Cricetulus griseus: one gene and its partner. The protein of the gene in region 1 interacts with the protein of each later gene in a pairwise test. Links are inferred from orthologs where the notes say so. Each region holds a gene or a part of one and is shown in the gene's direction. Other genes may lie near its edges. The genes, in order: protein-arginine deiminase type-4 and Anxa4.

Region 1 (3,818 bases):
CCCACACTGGCTCCCCATTGCCCATGTGCTTGTCCTGACTACTGCTGACCCAAGCCGGCAACTGCTCCCTGCCCCCAGCTTCATCACCTCAGAGTCGCTTGAGAAAGAAACCTGGGCGTTGCTCTTCATCCTGTCCAGCAGGTTCTGTTGACTTTGAAATTAAACAATCGCCTCATAAAATAATAATAATAGTAATAATAATAATAACAACAACAGGTTTTCTCAGCCACCAGCTTCATTTGTGCCTGGTTGAGCCTAGGTTCCAGGTCCCTCAGCTTCCACTCAGTTGGGTAACTCAGCAGCTGCCTTTCAGTAGCTTCCTGGGTGTGGTTCTCATGCCTGAGGGTGCACAGAGCACCCTGGGGACAGGAGGAAGCTCAGATCACTGGGTTCCAAGTCTGCAGCAACAGGTCTGAGGACCAAGCCTGGGAACCTGTCTTCCTGTTTCCAGGGGAGGCTGAGGCAGCTGCTCCTGTGCCTAGGACCACGCCTTGCCTGTGGCAGGTGGCTGAAGAATGCCGATAGGGAAAGTGTATCCCTGGAGATGGTCCTAAGCTCATCTGACCTGGACCTGCAGTGGGTGGTTCTTCAATGACAGGGTCATTGAAGATGAGAAGACAAAGATAGGGAAGTTGAGACCAGATCTTGCCTAAGCTGATGGCTTGCACCAAGAGTTTATGGAGAACTAGAGCACCCTCTAATCAGTTTACTGAAAGGAGGGGCAGAGACAGCAGAAAGCTATCACACAACGCTACAAAGTCAGCAGGAAGCTAGCCAAGCAGTGTTGCACAAAGGGAACACATGGTGTCTCAAGAGCATCACGACTGAGCACACAGTAGCCCTGGATGGACAACCCCAGTCTCTTCCCCAGAAAAGAATCAGATGCCCAGGAACTGAAACCTTAACTCCTTCAAGGCCCAGATGGACCTTCTTGCCAAGTCCACCCCAAGCAAGGACCAAGAACTGAAGTTCCCTTTGTCCTTTTGTCAGGACCTCTGAGCTTGACCCCCAACAACTTTTATAAATTTTATTTTGAGAATTTCATACATACACGAGTACCATACTGACCTCATTCCTCCCCTCCCTCTCTGGTCTCCAATGCTACTCCTGTCCCCTCAGCTACTCCCTCTCAAACTCATGTTGTTTGTAAGAGGATGAGCCTCAAGAATGTCTACCTGCTCTGCCTCCCTGTGTGATGGTGCACGCCTTTAATCCCAGTACTCAGGAGGCAGAGGCAAGAAGATCTCTATGAGTCCCAGGCCAGCCTTGTCTACAGAGTGAGTTCCATGATAGCCAGGATTATATAGTGAGACCTTGTCTCAAAAAAAAAAAAAAAAAAAAAAAAAAAAAAAAAAAAAGATTATTTGTCCTGTCACAACTTCCGAAATCTGTGTGGTTTTGTTTTGGCTGTGGTTGTGGGGTTTTTGTTGTGGGATATATTTTGAGCCCTGTCTCCAGTCCCCTGTGTGCGATTCTTTATATGCACACAGCTCTTGGCATGTCCACTGTTGAAGGTCCCCTGTGTGCACACTGCTCCATGGGTGTGCAGGAGGTACCTTTGTTACACACCTCCTGCTGCTGTCTCTCTAGTTCAAGTGTAAGGCCTCCAGTCTGAGGATTCCCATTCTATTTTCTCATTCCTTTCTGGCAATCATACCATATTTACTGTCTGGCCAGAGCAAGCCCATTGGTGGCCTGTGTTTCTTCCTGCCGGGGAAAGGGGGACGGCTGGGACCAGTGTGGTGGTGGGCCAGGCCCTCTCACCACCAGTGCCTCTGCTGGCCCCTGTCTCACTCCACAGCTCTGCCCCTAAGGGCTGCACGTCCTTTGGCATCACAGCCTCGCCAGGAGTGGTTGTACATGTTGCTCACAGTCCTCCAGCCAAGAAGAACACCACTGGTGCCTCCAAATGGCCTCTGGACCCAGAGCTGGAGGTGACCCTACAGGTCAAAGCAGCCAGCGGCCACACAGATGACCAAAAGGTGGGTGTGATGACTGGGGTGCAGGGGGGGACCTTCTGGGTGGGGTGGGTGGAGGGCTGAGGGTGGGGGAATGAAGAGTTGAGGGGGTTTGGCTGAGGGGGCTAAGGAGGGTGGGTTGGAGCCTGGGAGGTGGGCAGTGGGGGGGTGGAGGGGAATGAGGCTGGGGTAGGGGGCTGAAGGTGGGCTCGGGGACTGATTGGTGGGCTGGGGGCTGATTGGTGGGATAGGGTAAGGGTCTGGTGGGTAGGGTGGTGTGGGGCCCTGGTGCCTGGAGTGGGGGGCTGAGGGTGGGAGATGTCAGCCCCACAGCTGCTGTACCCAGTCTGATTCCATGTACAGGGCTCACTCTGGGAGAGTCTCCTTCTCCTGGCCAAGTTCTCAGTGACTCCTCCCTCCACAGTGTCCTCATGGATAGGACACGGATGCTTGTCAATCTTGTACTCATCACTGGGATCAAATACCCAATAAAAACCAGATTAAGGAAGGCTGGGCTTATTTTGGCTCACAGCTTAGGGGCACAGTCCATCATGGCAGGAGAGCTCAGTGACAGGGGCCTGAGGCAGCATCCTCGGTCAGGAAGCAGAGAGAGACGGATGCTGGTGCTCAGCTTGCTTTCTCCGTCTCCCTTCCACTCAGTCTTGACTCTAGCCCACCAGACAGTGCCATCACCACATCCCGAGTGGGACTTCCCTCCTCAGTTAAACCTCGCTGGAAACAAGCTCATAGGTACACCCAGTGGTGGGTCTCCCAGTTCTAAATGCAGTCAAGTTCACAGTGGAGCTTGCAGGGGCCTGTGAAGGCTGGAATCCGGATCAAGTTCATCCACTTAGCAACTGTTTAATAAACACCATCTCATGCAGAAATAAGCAAGGCACTGGCGTAGGAGGCTATAGTCCTTGTGGGCATCAGGTAACATGCAGGTAGACCTCATATATGTGGCCATGGGGTCCCTGAAGGTCACAGGCAGGGAGCCCCCAGGGGCACCTTCTGTGCCCTGATGTTAGTTTCCAGTGGCCGCTGCAGCAAATCACCACACCAGCTTGCATGTAGGTGGAATTTTCTGTCCTGCCAGCCAGCTCCCAAATAACCACACAGAGACTATTACTAATTATAAATACTCTGCCAATAGCTTAGGCTTGTTACTAATTCGCTCTTATAACTTAAATTAGCCCATATTTCTTATCTACGTTCTACCACGTGGCTCAGTAACCTTTCCTCAGTATGGCATGTTCACTTTGCTTCTCCCCACGTCTCCTGACAACTCCACCCTTCTTCATCCCAGAGCTCTCTTCCTGTGTAAAAGTCCCACCTAACCTCTTCCTGCCAACTATTGGCCATTTAGCTCTTTATTAAACAAATGAGAGCAACACATCTTCACAGTGTAATGACCCACCCCAGCCTCCCTGTTTGCACAGAGCTACCACCTGCCTCTCTTTCCCTCTTATGCCTCTTGAACCTCATTTCCAGCTGCTGACCCCCTACTCCCCTTCTGAGAACTTCTCAAGCTACAGTTGGGGTTTCTATTGCTGTGATGAAATACCATGACCAAAACAAGTTGGGGAGGAAAGGGTTTATTCAGCTTACACTTCCACAGCACTGTTCATCATGAAAGGAAGCCAGGGCAGGAACTCAAACAGGAAAAGGATCCTGGAAGTAGGAGCTGATGCAGAGGGCATGGAAGGTGTTGCTCACTAGTGGGCTTGCTCAGCCTGCTCTCTTATAGAACCCAGGACCACCAGCCCAGGGACAGCCCCACCCACACTGGGCTGGGCCTTCCCCCACCAATCACTAATTTAAAAAATGCCCTACAGTCAGAACTTTCTCAATACAGGCATT
Region 2 (3,818 bases), on another chromosome or scaffold:
GCTGTACAAGTGTGTGTTATTATGAATAATGATTATGGTGAATACACTGGGCTTAGGCAGGCCAGGTAAAAGTTAACAGGCCCTGCTCCTGGACCCCAGTGGGCTGGCATTACCCTGCAGCTTCACACCTACATTTCTCTGAGTGTGGGGCTCAAGTTCTTCAGTTGTGAGCTTAATTGTATTATTACTTTATTTGTTTAACTCTGCATAAAAATTGCAGATTAACTTGATCCACTGGTTCATACCATCCTCATCTCTGGCCTCACATTTAGGGAGCTGGCACAGATGAAGGCTGCCTGATAGAGATCCTGGCTTCTCGTACCCCTGAGGAGATCCGTCGAATCAACCAGACTTACCAGCAGCGTGAGTAGCATCCTCCAGTGTAAATGGAGTTCTTAACTGGTCTAGATAATAAAATGCCAGAGTCAGGTATAGAGGGAAATGCTGAGAGATCAGAGAGAAGGAGGAGCCACAATGCACCTTACCTCCTAAGCTTCTCAGCAGACAAGAGAGCAAGTTCCCGTTTCTCCCTGTTTATACCCTGTTTCTGCCCAACTACCTCACTCCCTGTCTGTCTATACAGACCTCTATGGTTAGCTAGTGGCAAACTCATTTCTCTGACCCTCAGACAGGTTTTATTTGTACAAGCAAGATATCACCACACTCCAGACCCCGGCACAGGTTGCCTATGACTTAAAAACAAGACTGGTGACTGTTATATCTCAGCTATTAGATTATGGTGGAGCTTTCTCCCCTTTATTTTACTTATTTTTCCTCAGATTTCTGCCATATATATGGATCACCCACCAGGGTACTAGGAATGGGCCCTGGAGTCTCTTACAAGCTAGGCTGGAGCTATACCCCAGCATTAGTGTTCCCTGGGTTTCCATAGTTAATATGCGTCACTTCTGTGGAGGAAACAGTCATGCAGTAAGGAGTGTTGCACAGGGTTCAGAGGTTGAACCTAAACCATGAGAGTCTGAAGTTAGCCCCTGACCCTGAAGGTTTTGGATTTAGCCCCATAACCCTGATTTCAGCCCTGTAGGGGTTCTCTGTGATCACCACAGCCAGAAGAGTAAGGGGAGGCAAGAAGGCAATTTGGTTCAACATGACTACGTAGCCAGTGTTGGTTCAAACTTTGACCCTGAGTCATTTATTTTAGGCATATTTAAGCACAGCACAATTTGATGAAAAATTTCCTGGTGATAATCAACCCAACCCTGTGTGCACAATAAAATTCAAGATATGACTACATTGAAACTCTTTGGAAAGTATCTATGATGCCTTCCATAAAGATGGGTTCTATAGATTGGATTACATGTGACACCTCCCATAAAGATAAGTTCTATAGATTGGCAGGCTCATGATAAGGGTCTGGGGAGGATCTAGTGTGGTCTTGTCCACACAGACAGTGCAAAGGTCACCAGGCTATTAACCACATCTGCTGCCAGCCTTCTGGGTGGATAGCAGCTTGTACACCCCTTTCTTTGAAGGAGAAATCCTGTGTGTTTAACACTCTTGGTCGCCCTAGTGCTTATCTGTGAGCATAAGAACCCCCATGCCTCCCACACAGTCCCACATAGGGTTGGAGTTAGCCCCTAACCCTGGCATGTGTCCACATTGGCTTCTGTAGCTATAGAGAGTGTCATTCATCAGAGAGATCTGTTAGAACCTCTCTGGGGACCTCTGTCCTGTGACACTAGTAACCTTCAACAGCTTCTGTAGCAGGCTTTTTCTTTTAGGCCACCAACCAATTCCCAAATCATGACACAGAGACTTCTTATTAGTTACGAATGCTCAGCCTAGCTTAGGCTCATCTCTGGCTAGCTTTTTTTCCCCTTTAACTTAAATTAGCCTGTTTCTCTTAATCTATGTTTCACCTCAGGGCTTTTTACCTTTCTTTTTGTATGTCCTACTCTGTGGCTGCTGGCCGGTGGCTGCCTGGCTGGCTCCAGGCATCTTCTTCTCTTTCTCCCTCATTCTCTTCTTCTAATTCTCTGTGCCCACCAGTCCCACCTATCCTTTTACTGCTTAGTTATTGGCTGTTCAGCTTTTTGTTAGACCAAGCAGGTGACTTAGGCAGGCAAGGTGAAACAAATGCAACACATCTTTACATAATTAAACAAATGCCGCATAATCAAATGTAACACACCTTTACACAGTTAAAGTAATACTCTGTGTAGCATAAACAAATGTAACATATCTTTACCTAGTTAAAGTAATATTCCACAACAAGCTTCCGTTCAGACAAGTGCAGAGCAGAGTCTCAGACAGAAGGAAACCAAAGAGGACTCCAGCCCTGTCTTCTTGATCCCCACCATCTTAAAGAGACAGCCATAGCACATACATGGTCATATTTACTAGGTCATATTTACCATTTGTTTTTTTTTGTTTGTTGTTGCCATTTTTATGAGCTAATGGGCTTCATTAGAATTGCTTACAGGAACATAGGGGAAGGGTTACCTACAGGAACATGGTGAACAGTTACCTACAGCAGCATGGGTGAGCAGTTACCTACAGGATCATGGCTGCTTTACTGATGGTTACACCACTGAAGGAATTGCCTCCCCTTGCCCAGCAACCATTACCTTCTTATAGACCTGTAGGGATGGCTGGGGCCACACAGAGTTCAGATTTAGAAAACCTCACATGGGGTACCACTTTGGTTTGACCTGCTCCCATGAACATGCTGCCTTGGAGGGACAGAGCTTGCTGGAGGGTGACAGCACTAGGCAGGACTCTGTTCTGATGTACCCATTTTCAATTTCTTGGCAGAATATGGAAGGAGCCTTGAAGAGGACATCTGCTCAGACACATCCTTCATGTTCCAGCGAGTACTGGTGTCCCTGGCAGCGGTGCGTGACTTCCTTGGTGATGGCTTCTGATAGGGGATGCTGGGTTGATTGAAACATGCACCCTCCTTTACCCGCCCTTCAGTCATTCAGTCTCCTAAACATGAGCACTCCCCAGGTGTCATCCCCGGGCTGCTCTATCCCTTTATCTTATTTCTCCTTCAGAGACCTTGGCTAGTCATGCATGCCCAACCATTTCTTCTACTTTAATTCACTGTTCATGGGTCCCGTGTTTGTGCCAGCTACCTCTATTACAAAGTGCATTGGATTACAAGGATATGGAGAGATAACTTTCTGTGTTTTAGACGTTTATACAGTGGCAGGACTGGAGAGGTTGCAGAGGACCTGAGTTAAATAAACCCCCCACACACATTGGATGGCTCACAACCACCTGTAACTCCAGATCCAGGAGACTGACTGCCCTCTTCTGGCCTCAATAAGCACCTGCACACATATGACACACACATATATACAACACACACAATGCATGCACTTTTTTAAAAATCTTTTTTTTTTTTAAAGAACAGTCTTCCAAACTGGAAGGCAGTGCCTGTCTATCACTCATTCGTATCCCTTCAGGGGTTCCTGTGGCCCTCAATGCTGGAGCTGGTGTATTTGGCACTGGCATTGCATCAGCTTCAACAGTTCTACCTCAGGTCTAGCATTCTCTTGACCAATGAAGACTGACTAGTTAAGAAGACTGAATCAGCTGTGTCAGTGCAGGGGTGGGGTTGGGAGCCGGGAGAAAGATGTTAATGTTCTTCTAATGGAAGAGACAACTTTGCAAAATCAAGGGTCACAATGGGGTTCACACTCCACTGGGAGCATCTCCAGGGCATAGGTCCAGGCCCTGATGATACAAGACGGCAGTCCTAACTCTCTAACCTGCATCTTGTCTCCAGGCCTTCTGTCTTAAGAGCACCCAGGGTGGCAGGGATGAAGGGAATTACCTGGGTGATGTGCATG

The links.
Region 2: the proteins of protein-arginine deiminase type-4 (region 1) and Anxa4 interact in binary tests that used the Homo sapiens proteins (3 or more experiments, as listed by UniProt). The two-hybrid records come from large-scale screens. The link is inferred for Cricetulus griseus from reciprocal best matches to the Homo sapiens genes PADI4 and ANXA4.

Annotation. Positions count from the first base shown.
Region 1 is NC_048595.1:12,490,389-12,494,206, forward strand, and holds part of protein-arginine deiminase type-4, read left to right. Parts: intron 1-1,801; coding exon 1,802-1,982; intron 1,983-3,818. UniProt on the Homo sapiens protein: Catalyzes the citrullination/deimination of arginine residues of proteins such as histones, thereby playing a key role in histone code and regulation of stem cell maintenance.
Region 2 is NC_048601.1:58,491,984-58,495,801, reverse strand, and holds part of Anxa4 (annexin A4), read left to right. Parts: intron 1-272; coding exon 273-363; intron 364-2,775; coding exon 2,776-2,855; intron 2,856-3,818. UniProt on the Homo sapiens protein: Calcium/phospholipid-binding protein which promotes membrane fusion and is involved in exocytosis.